3 linked regions of the Cricetulus griseus genome follow. The protein of the gene in region 1 interacts with the protein of each later gene in a biochemical or structural test. Links are inferred from orthologs where the notes say so. Each region holds a gene or a part of one and is shown in the gene's direction. Other genes may lie near its edges.

Region 1 (3,650 bases):
TTCAACATGTATTTTATAGGGTTTTAATGAAAGTACCTAGAAGCGCTCCTGTGCTCATACAGAAGTGTGTTTGTTGCTTAGTAGGACCACAGTGTATAGAGTGTTTCACCATTGGCCTTTTCATTCAGTAATATTCCAGGAATTTATGTAGACATAGTTGAAATACATGAATGTTACTATAATCAATTTAATCAAGTGTCTACCAATAGACATTTGTTTTTAAAATAATTTTCCAACTAATAATTGTCACAACATTAAGTGCATTGTGTAACGCTTTCTGAGTGAGAAGTTGACAGCTGACTGAAGGGTACAACATGGTTCTTTCCATTACTTGTTTTTTTTTTACTTCTGCTTTTTGTAAAGCCCATACTAAATTAAAAATGAAATTAATTAAAAAGAAATGAAAGTAGGCAGCAGTGATGTCTAAACACAGTACTCAGGAGGCAGAGGCAGGTAGATCTCCGAGTCTGAGGTTAGCCTGGTCTACAGAGCAAGTTCCAGGACAAGACAGGGCTATGGGAGAAACCCTGTCTTGAAAAATCAAACAAAACAAAGAACTGAAACTAGTTTTAAAAAACAAACAACAACAAAAAAAACAACCCAATTTTTGAAAATCTTTTATGTCATTATCTTGATAATATTGAGAAGAAATAGACCTTGTTTTCTTTTTCCTTTTCTTTCTTTCTTTTTTTTTTTTTTTTTTTTTTTTTTGCTATCCCTTGTCTTAGAAGGCTAAATTATTTGCCACCAGAATCTGTTCATTATTTGTATTATTGTAAAAATACTCATAATTTGCCAAGCAGAAATCCTTTGTTTTGTTAACCTCTGCCTCAGTCATATAAATAGGAATCCTCTTGTCATTGCAGTGTGCATTGCCTCAGGAACAAAGGTGGCTTTGTTTAATCGACTTCGATCCCAGACAGTTAGTACCAGATACCTGCATGTAGAAGGAGGAAATTTCCATGCGAGTTCACAACAATGGGGAGCATTTTATATTCATCTCTGTGAGTATAAAAATACACATTTGATATTTTCAGTATGAAAATAATATATTCTCTTTAGGGGGATAAAATGTATGAATATAGTCATTTTGTTGTGTCTTAAACATATACTAAATTTTAAAAGATAGCAATTTTGTCTATTTTGCACCCACTATAGTGGATGACGATGAATCAGAAGGAGAGGAATTCACAGTTCGAGATGGTTACATCCACTATGGACAGACTGTCAAACTTGTGTGCTCAGTTACTGGCATGGCACTCCCAAGATTGGTAAGACCTGGTTATATGAGATAGAAACAAACTAGGAGAGATAGAAAAGTGTAGTTCAGTTTTTATACTTTTAGATGTGAAAATGTAATGTCCCAATTATCCCCTATTAGCCGTTGCCTCAATTCGTAAGTGCCCTTAAAGAATTAGTCTGCTGTGAGTGCATTGCTGAGGTCAGTCTCTTATGCCATTTTAAATGAATTTGGTGTTGGTTCCCTTTTTGATTGTGTGTCTGTTATTTTTTTCTTGAATGTTGCAGATATACTGTATTCCTTTGTGTGTGTTACCTGCTGTATCTGAATGTAGGACCAAGTTTTCAAAAGCCTAGATACATACATATAATTTTTATTAGGCTACTTGACTGAAACATTTGTTTAAAATTTGGTAGAGTTTAATTTCTTGCTTTGGGAACAATGCACAGGATTGGGGCATTTTTGTTCATTAGATCATAAAACTATAAAGACACTCTTTTCCCTGTAAGTTGAAAAAAAAAAAATCCCAAAATTCTGCTTTCCAGAACTGTAAGTTTAAGATGCATATTAAATATCTTAAGTGGAAATGTTGACTAGTTGTGACATATGCAATGGCACTATGAAAGGTCTGTTAGAGCAGGCATGGCTCTAGGAAAAATGTCTGAATCAGGTGCTTCAGAGGCTGTGAAGCCCTGTGGAGGAGAAATGCATGAGGGTCACCTTTCTGGAGGCTCTTGGTGGCCTTGGTGAATAGTTAACAAAGGAAACTTTGAGACAGAAGGTTATAGGGCAGTGGTTCTGAATCTGTGTGTTGTGGCCTCTTTGGGGGTTGCATATCAGATATTTACATTATAATTTGTAACAGTTTCAGAATTACAGTTATGAAGTAGCCATGAATTTTATGGTTAGAGGGCACCACAATGTGAGGAAAGGGTCTCAGCATTAGGGAGTTTGAGGACCACTGTTATGGAGGCTTCAGGAGACTGGACTGTGAGAACGATGTCTGTCTTTCTCAAGTAGCACTGAGAAACAGGCTTAGGGAGAGGGAAGGAAAGGCATGCTGAAGGAAAAGGCTTACAGTATTTATAAGTATTTATAATGTGTTTGTATGCTCTTGGGAACAAGCAGCAGTTTCTCTCCATGGAACTTAGTGACTACCTGTTGTGCCTTGTATCATTTAAAGTTTGCTAGCATTGTCTTTAATGTACACACATGGGTTCTCTAGAATGCCTAGATTGGTGGTTCTCAACCTGTGTGTTTCCACCCCCAGGGATCCTTGAGTGGCTTTGTCATAGGGGGTCACCTAAGACCATCAGAAAACACAGTATTTACATTATGATTCATAGAAAAATAGCAAAATGACAGTTATCAACTAGCAGTGAAAATAATTTTATGGTTTTGGGGGTCAGGTCATCACAATTCGAGGAACTGTGTTAAAGGGTCACAGAATTGGGAAAGTTGAGAAGCACTGATATAGTAGCTTACTGTAGATGTTTCCTTGAGGTATTAAATTTATATATTATTGAAAAGATCACTAGAACCTTACAGTGAAAATCCTTGTATCTATTAGCAGCATTCACAGCACCAGTGTGGTACAAGTGTAGAATGCTGGGCCCCAAGTGTGTTAGGCATTTTTAGTCAAGAACTCCAGACAATTTATGTATATATTAATGTTTAAAAAGCACTAATCTATATTTTTGGTTGTGAGCCTAGCCTTTAACGGCTGAGCCATCTCAAAAAGCACTAATCTAAACAATGAATGAACGCTTTCCTTATTTCTTAATGTATTCTTTGAAGGGGTGATTTCCACATTTAATAAACATATGTTTATAAAATTTATGACTTTTTATTCCTAACCTTATTGCTTAATAATGTCTAATACGTAGGTATAAGGCTAGTGACTGATACATCATCATGTAGTGTATTCTATGGCCTATGACAGTGTATAAAATAAAAACTGCATGTGGATGACTTACTTTTTTAAATTGTTGGAATACAGATAATTAGGAAAGTTGATAAGCAGACAGCATTACTGGATGCAGACGACCCTGTATCACAACTCCACAAATGTGCATTTTACCTTAAGGATACAGAAAGAATGTACTTGTGCCTTTCTCAAGAAAGAATAATCCAATTTCAGGTATGTTATAAAATGATTGGTGAAATCCAAGCTATGCAAATAGGGCTAGGGTGCTGCTTTGTGACAAATACCTGCCCAGCACTATATTCAACCCCAGTAGTGCAGATCAGTAATGACTGGATGAAATGTGCTGAAAAACTATTGAATTAACAGTTTACAGAGACATCCTTCTTACTGGTTGTCAATTATATCCACATACAAGAAGCTGGGTTCATATGTTTATCTTAGGTTATTGGTCCTTAACACACACACTACTCTCACACATACCTG
Region 2 (3,650 bases), on another chromosome or scaffold:
ACATGAAAAAGAAGAAAATCAGGACTGACTCGGAGGGGAAAATGGATGATAAGAAGGATGACCACCGGGAGGAGGAGCAGGAGCGGCAGGAGCTGTTCGCCTCTAGGTTTTTACATAGCTCCATCTTTGAGCAGGACTCCAAGCGGCTGCAGCATCTTGAGAGGAAGGGGGAGGAGTCTGACTTCCCTCCCGGGAGGCTGTACAACAGACAAGCATCTGAGGGGGCCAGTAGCACAGGTGACTCGGTCCAGGAGCCAGTGGTCCTGTTCCACAGCAGATTCATGGAGCTCACACGGATGCAACAGAAGGAGAAGGAGAAGGACCAGAAACCCAAAGAGGCTGAGAAACATGAGGACCCAGAGACTGTTGCCAAGACCCCGGAACCTGCCACTGAGACTAAAGAGTTGGAGCCGAAAGCCCCCGTTTCAGTTGGGCTTCCTGTGGTCACCCCTGTGACGCCAGAACCAGCATCATCAGCACCAGAGAAGGCTGAGAAAACAGCAGAGGCTCCTTTACTGGCAGGAGAGAAGCCTGTAGAGCCAGCCCCCTTATTGGAAGAGGTGAAGTCCGCCTGTGAGCCGGTTCCTGCCCCTGTGGAACAGCCCAAGCAGGTGGACTTAACCCCAGGAGAGGGCACCAGTGAAAGCACTGCTGTGGCCCCTTTGGCTACTCGAGAAAGCTCAAGTACTGACGCCATCCCTTGTGTGGATGCTGAGCCTCTGACTCCTGGGACTGCAATTTCCAAGGCAGAAAGCAATGTAGACCCAAAACCCAGTAGTCCCCAGCCACTTTCCAAACAGGCTCAGAAGTCTGAGGAAGCCGAAGAGCCGAAAGTGGAGAAGCCAGATGCAGCTCCAGGCATTGAGCCCAGTGCCACTCAGAAAGCCGAAGTCATGCCTGAAGTTCAGCCCCCAGCCTCTGAAGATGTAGAGGCCAATCCTCCAGTTGCTGCAAGAGACAAGAAGACAAACAAAAACAAACGTTCCAAGACACCGGTCCAGGCAGCTGCCACAAGCATCGTGGAGAAGCCTGTCACCAGAAAGAGCGAGAGGATAGACCGGGAAAAGCTGAAGCGGTCCAGCTCTCCTCGAGGAGAGGCACAGAAGCTGTTAGAACTGAAGGTGGAGGCTGAGAAGATTACAAGGGCTGCATCTAAAAGCTCTGCGGGGGACCCTGAGCTCCCTGAGCCCAGCCTACCTCTCAGCCGAACCAGGCGCCGGAATGTCAGGAGCGTTTATGCCACCATGGGTGACCACGAAAGTCGCTCTCCAGCTAAAGAGCCTGCTGAGCAGCCCAGAGTGACCAGGAAGAGACTGGAGCGGGAGCTGCAGGAGGCCACAGTAGCTCCCACCACCCCTCGGCGGGGAAGGCCTCCTAAAACACGCCGGCGTGTTGAGGACGATGAAGAGCATGAGACGAAAGAGCCAGCAGAAACACCCAAGCCAGCTGAGGGCTGGAGGTCTCCGAGGTCGCAGAAGTCAGCTGCCACTGGCGGACCCCATGGGAAAAGGGGGAGAAACGATCAAAAAGCTGAGGCTGCTGCTGAAAGCAGTGCCCAGGTGAACACGAGGGAAAGTAACGCTAAGTCCAGAGGTGATAAAGAAGCAGCAAGTGATTCAAAACGTGACCGGAGAGATACCAGCACAGACAAAAATGGACCTGACCCCTTCCCAGTTGAGGCAGTGGAGAACAAGCCACCTCCCGAGAAAGGCACCAAATCAAAGAGAGGGCGGGCCCGTAACACCAGGTCAGCAATGGACAGAGCTGCACATCTGAGAAGCCTGGACATGGCCACCAGGGCTGCAGGGCAGGCTGTGGACAAGGAAGCTGGGCTTGTGGCAATCTCTCCTGAGAAAAATGAGAGCCCCCCAAAGGAAAGTGGCTCCTCATGTCAGCTGAAAAGTGACCCAGTTGATCCTAAGAAGGCAGCAGAGAAGGATGATGCGTCTACCTCCACGGTGACCCCGGAAGCCACACAGCTAGCCAAGCAGATGGAGCTGGAGCAGGCTGTGGAGAACATCGCAAAGCTCACTGAGCCCTCCTCCCGTACTGCTGACAAGGGACCAGCCACAGGGACTTCTGAAGGCCCTGCCCCGGAGGATGGCCACAAGCCTGCACACCAGGCAAGCGAAACCGAACTGGCTGCGGCCATTGGGTCCATTATCAGTGACAATTCTGGAGAGCCTGAAAACTTGTCTGCTTCTGCCTCCTTCCCCACAGGATCTCAGGCACATCCGCAGGAAGGAATGGAGCCGGGGCCCACTGGGGCCACATCTGGAGACTCAGAGGCAAATGCTGTTTCCCAGTCTTCTGGCTCACAGCTCGGTGCCTCGGTCCCTGCAGCAGGCTCTGCAGACACCAAGGAAACCAGAGAGAACAGCAGTGATGCTGTACAGGAAGCCAGGGGGTCTAAAGTGGAAGTCACTCCTCCCCGAAGAGACAAAGGGCGTCAGAAGACAACACGGTCACGCCGGAAAAGGAATACAAACAAGAAAGGAATACAAACTGCCATAGAGCCTCGTGCCTCTGAGGCTGAGCAGGCTCAAAGCGAGAGCCCTGCTGCTAACGAGGCAACGGCAGCACCCCCAGAAGCTCTCCAGGAAGAACAGCAGAGTGAAAACCTCCCGTCTACTCCTCCTCAGGAATGCACTTCTGATCCAAGCAAGACCCCACCTGCCGAGAGTCTGTGTCAGGAAAGCAGTGTTGAAGAAACGACCCCCTGCAAAGCACCCGCCCCCCCTGACCTCCCTCCTCTTTCCCAGCCATCGCTGGTGGGTGACGAACCCCAGGCCAGGTTCAAGGTGCATTCAATCATCGAAAGTGACCCGGTGACTCCACCCAGTGACTCCAGCATTCCTCCACCCACAATCCCTTTAGTGACAATAGCAAAGCTCCCACCCCCTGTCATTCCTGGGGGAGTCCCACATCAGAGTCCCCCTACTAAGGTGACAGAGTGGATCACAAGACAGGAGGAGCCTCAGACTCAGTCCACCCCATCTCCAGCTCTTCCCCCAGACACAAAGGCATCTGACGTGGATACCAGCTCCAGTACACTGAGGAAGATCCTCATGGATCCCAAATATGTATCTGCCACAGGTGTTACTTCCACAAGTGTCACCGCAGCCATCGCAGAGCCCGTGAGTGCTGCTCCTTGTCTGCATGAGGCACCGGTCCCTCCAGGTGAACCCAAACATCTTCCCTTAGAAGAAAAGTCAGCAACTCCAGTATCAAATGCTTCTGACACCCAGCCCTCAGAGGTCCCAGTAGCTGCTGACAAAGAGAAAGTAGCTCCGGTCATTGCCCCTAAAATCACATCTGTTATTAGCCGGATGCCTGTCAGCATTGACCTGGAGAATTCGCAGAAGATAACATTGGCAAAACCAGCTCCTCAGACCCTGACTGGCCTGGTGAGTGCCCTGACTGGCCTGGTGAATGTCTCTCTGGTCCCAGTGAATGCCTTAAAGGGTCCCGTGAAGGGCTCAGTGGCCACACTGAAAGGTTTAGTGAGCACCCCTGCCGGGCCTGTGAATCTCCTAAAGGGGCCCGTGAATGTCCTCACTGGGCCTGTCAATGTCCTGACCACTCCAGTTAGTGCCACAGTAGGCACAGTGAACGCTGCCCCAGGTACCGTGAATGCTGCCGCGGGTGCA
Region 3 (3,650 bases), on another chromosome or scaffold:
CTCTCCTAACTGATTGCTGTGCTGGACCACACAGGACAGAAAACAGCCAGTACTGTCCTCTGACAGTGTCCATGGTCATTCTGCAGGTGTACACTGTGAGATCAACGTTGATGACTGCCATCCCCACCTTGACCCTGCCTCCCGAAGCCCCAAGTGCTTCAACAATGGCACCTGTGTGGACCAGGTGGGTGGCTATAGCTGCACCTGCCCACCAGGCTTCGTCGGAGAACGTTGTGAGGGTGACATCAATGAGTGTCTCTCCAACCCCTGTGACCCACGAGGCACCCAAGACTGCGTGCAGCGTGTTAATGACTTCCACTGCGAGTGCCGGGCTGGCCACACTGGTGCGTGCCTTGGGCAGGTGGGCAGGCGCCTTGGGTGGACAGGCAGTGGTGGCAGGGCTAGCTCCTTACTGTCTTCTCATCCAGGACGCCGCTGCGAGTCAGTCATCAACGGCTGCAGGGGCAAACCATGCAAGAATGGGGGTGTCTGTGCTGTGGCTTCCAACACTGCCCGCGGATTCATCTGCAGGTGCCCTGCGGTAGGTGCCCCTGGCCCTGTGCAGCTGCTAAGGTCCAGGTCTAAGGGTGCCAGAACCCCTGAATTTTACATTGGGTGGACATGTCCCACGCCCAGGGTAGATTAGCCTGAAGGCTTCTAGCCAAGGCTAGGGATCAAGCCCCATGCTTCCTCATGCCCACTCTCCCAGTTCATTCTTAAAATTTGAGTGGGCATAATACATACATACCTGTAATTCTAGTACTCTGGGGGCTGAGGCTAAAAGATTGTCCTGCATTTAAGGCTACGTTAGGCTACAGGGCAAGTCCGTGTTTAAAAAAAGTTTATTTCCTGCTATGTTGTATTGGAAACCTAGGTCCTCACACATGCTGGGCAAATGTTCTGCCCCTGAGTCCCAGCCCAGCCTCTTGTTTTTAAATAAATGTTCATCTTGAGGCAGTTTTAGGTTTGCATGAGAACTTATCAGGAGGGCCAAGTCCCCACCCTGCCTGCCATTTCCTATGGTTACCACCTTGCATGGAAGGTGTTGAGGATCACACTTATAGCTGGCACTGAGGTACAGTATTTGCTCTGGTGTTAACACTCAGAAATTCATACACATATAATGTACCAGTGTCAGCCTGGTTTTTCATGGTTCTAAAATCTAGGATTCTGCCCTCTTAGCTATCCCTCCATTTCAAAGCCTGTGGTAATCCTGACCTTTCTATGGTGAGGATGTTAAAGGGTCTTATTACTTCGGAAAGGCCATAGACACCTTTCATAGGTCATGAGATGTGGCCAGGCCTAGGATGGGGTGCATGGTGTTCCTGAACTCTAGCACCTTGCTCTAATGCACCATCCTCTCTCCACCACCACAGGGCTTTGAAGGTGCCACGTGTGAGAATGATGCCCGCACTTGTGGCAGCTTGCGCTGCCTCAATGGTGGCACATGTATCTCAGGCCCACGAAGTCCCACCTGCCTATGCTTGGGCTCCTTTACTGGCCCTGAGTGCCAGTTCCCAGCCAGCAGCCCCTGTGTGGGTAGTAACCCTTGCTACAATCAGGGCACCTGTGAGCCCACATCCGAGAGCCCTTTCTACCGCTGTCTGTGCCCTGCCAAATTCAACGGGCTGCTGTGCCACATCCTGGACTACAGCTTCACAGGTGGTGCTGGGCGCGACATTCCCCCGCCACAGATTGAGGAGGCCTGCGAGCTGCCTGAGTGCCAGGAAGATGCAGGCAACAAGGTCTGCAACCTGCAGTGCAATAATCACGCATGTGGCTGGGATGGTGGTGACTGCTCCCTCAACTTCAATGACCCTTGGAAGAACTGCACGCAGTCCTTACAGTGCTGGAAGTATTTTAGTGATGGCCACTGTGACAGCCAGTGCAACTCAGCCAGCTGCCTTTTTGATGGCTTCGACTGCCAGCGCACCGAGGGACAGTGCAAGTAAGTAAGGCTCGGTGGCTTCAGAGTCCCAGGGCTCAGCAGACAGCTGCGGGGGGAAGAACCAAACAAATACCAGGAACATGAGGCCAATGTCTATCCCTCCCCATAGGGGACACCAAGCACATTTCCTAGGTCTGGGCCAGTCAGGGTGGGTGTGAGGCCCACAAGGCTGGGATGTGACTGAGTGTGTCCTGTACCCCTCAGCCCTCTGTATGACCAGTATTGCAAGGACCACTTCAGTGACGGCCATTGTGACCAGGGCTGCAACAGTGCCGAGTGCGATTGGGATGGGCTAGACTGTGCAGACCATGTGCCTGAGCGACTGGCAGCTGGCACGTTGGTGCTGGTGGTGCTGCTCCCACCTGAGCAGCTACGCAACAACTCCTTCCACTTCCTGCGGGAGCTCAGCCACGTGCTGCACACCAATGTGGTCTTCAAGCGTGATGCAGAAGGCCAGCAGATGATCTTCCCCTACTACGGCCATGAGGAAGAGCTGCGCAAGCACCCCATCAAGCGCTCTGCAGTGGGTTGGACCACCTCTTCACTGCTTCCCAGCACCAATGGGGGGCGCCAGCGCAGGGAGCTGGACCCCATGGACATCAGAGGGTGAGTGAGCTCCATCCAGATCCAGCTTCTGTGGGCTGTTTCCTAGTGCATTCCTGGGCCCTGTTACCAGCTCAACCCTGGAGGTGAACTCTGGGGAGGTATTATTCACCCTACTTTATGGTCAAAAAGGACCTGGAATGTGGAGGCCACCTCTCTCTAGGTACCTGGCAGGGTTCACTCTTTGCCCAGCTTGTGGTTTTGAGGCTCCACTATGTATTAGGTGTTTAATCAGGACCAAGCTGGTTAAAGCCTCCAGGGTGGTCCCTGGAGCTAAATCATCCTAGACCAAGCCGGCACCTCAGTCTCTATAGCCTCCTTATCCACACTGCAGAGGAGGCGGGTGGGGAAATGCAGAAAGGCACTGTTGCTGAGCCTTGAAGGCTGAGGAGCTGAGGGTGGCAATGAGGAGGCACAAATAAGGGCATCTCATGGATGCTGCACAGAGCCACCTGGGAACAGGCAGAGAAGCACCAGCCAGGACTGATGTGGTCCTTGCAATACTGGTCACCCCCATACCCTGAATTTGTGGGTTCCAGGAGCCTGCCACCTATTCCTCTTTGAGATGCTGGGCATCTGCCTGGTGGCTCCTTGGTGTCTCTTGACCCCAGCAGTTTCTAGTCCTGGTTTCCTTGGTATGGAACCGCAGTAAAAGTTAGAAATGTGTTGTTCCCTGGAAGCTGTATTAGAATCCTGTGTCTGAGAGGCCATGACTGAGAGTGGGTGACTCGGCTGCCATGAGAGTCTCAGCTCTCTAGCATCTGAGCCTGCTGTTGTCTCCGGCCACTCCTAGGGGAGTTCTGAGGAATAACCCACAACCCGTCCCTGCACTTCTGTGGGGCACCAGGTTACTGCTCTCAAGAGTGCACTGAGTGCCTGAGGACATTCTCTTCTCTGAGGTGAAGAAAGGGGTGCTGTGGTACCTAAGGGGCAAGGCTGAAAAACATGTTGGGCAGTAGGAAGAACCCCTGCTGAGTGCTAAACACTGAGGCTGCAGGGAGACTTGTCCAGTTGCTGGGCTGTTGTTGTCAGATATGCTCTCTGGGTCAGGGTGATAGGATAGGGAGTCAGAGCTGGTGTACAGGCAGCATGCTACGCT

What was found.
Region 2: the proteins of Rbpj (region 1) and Spen form a complex in vitro, tested with the Homo sapiens proteins (2 studies listed by BioGRID and IntAct). The link is inferred for Cricetulus griseus from reciprocal best matches to the Homo sapiens genes RBPJ and SPEN.
Region 3: the proteins of Rbpj (region 1) and Notch1 form a complex in vitro, tested with the Homo sapiens proteins (5 studies listed by BioGRID and IntAct, with this or other methods). The link is inferred for Cricetulus griseus from reciprocal best matches to the Homo sapiens genes RBPJ and NOTCH1.

Annotation. Positions count from the first base shown.
Region 1 is NW_023276807.1:121,908,557-121,912,206, forward strand, and holds part of Rbpj (recombining binding protein suppressor of hairless), read left to right. Parts: intron 1-866; coding exon 867-1,004; intron 1,005-1,158; coding exon 1,159-1,271; intron 1,272-3,239; coding exon 3,240-3,380; intron 3,381-3,650. UniProt on the Homo sapiens protein: Transcriptional regulator that plays a central role in Notch signaling, a signaling pathway involved in cell-cell communication that regulates a broad spectrum of cell-fate determinations.
Region 2 is NC_048595.1:11,780,741-11,784,390, forward strand, and holds part of Spen (msx2-interacting protein), read left to right. Parts: coding exon 1-3,650. UniProt on the Homo sapiens protein: May serve as a nuclear matrix platform that organizes and integrates transcriptional responses. In osteoblasts, supports transcription activation: synergizes with RUNX2 to enhance FGFR2-mediated activation of the osteocalcin FGF-responsive element (OCFRE).
Region 3 is NC_048599.1:137,857,389-137,861,038, reverse strand, and holds part of Notch1 (neurogenic locus notch homolog protein 1), read left to right. Parts: intron 1-86; coding exon 87-344; intron 345-428; coding exon 429-541; intron 542-1,376; coding exon 1,377-1,948; intron 1,949-2,152; coding exon 2,153-2,554; intron 2,555-3,650. UniProt on the Homo sapiens protein: Functions as a receptor for membrane-bound ligands Jagged-1 (JAG1), Jagged-2 (JAG2) and Delta-1 (DLL1) to regulate cell-fate determination.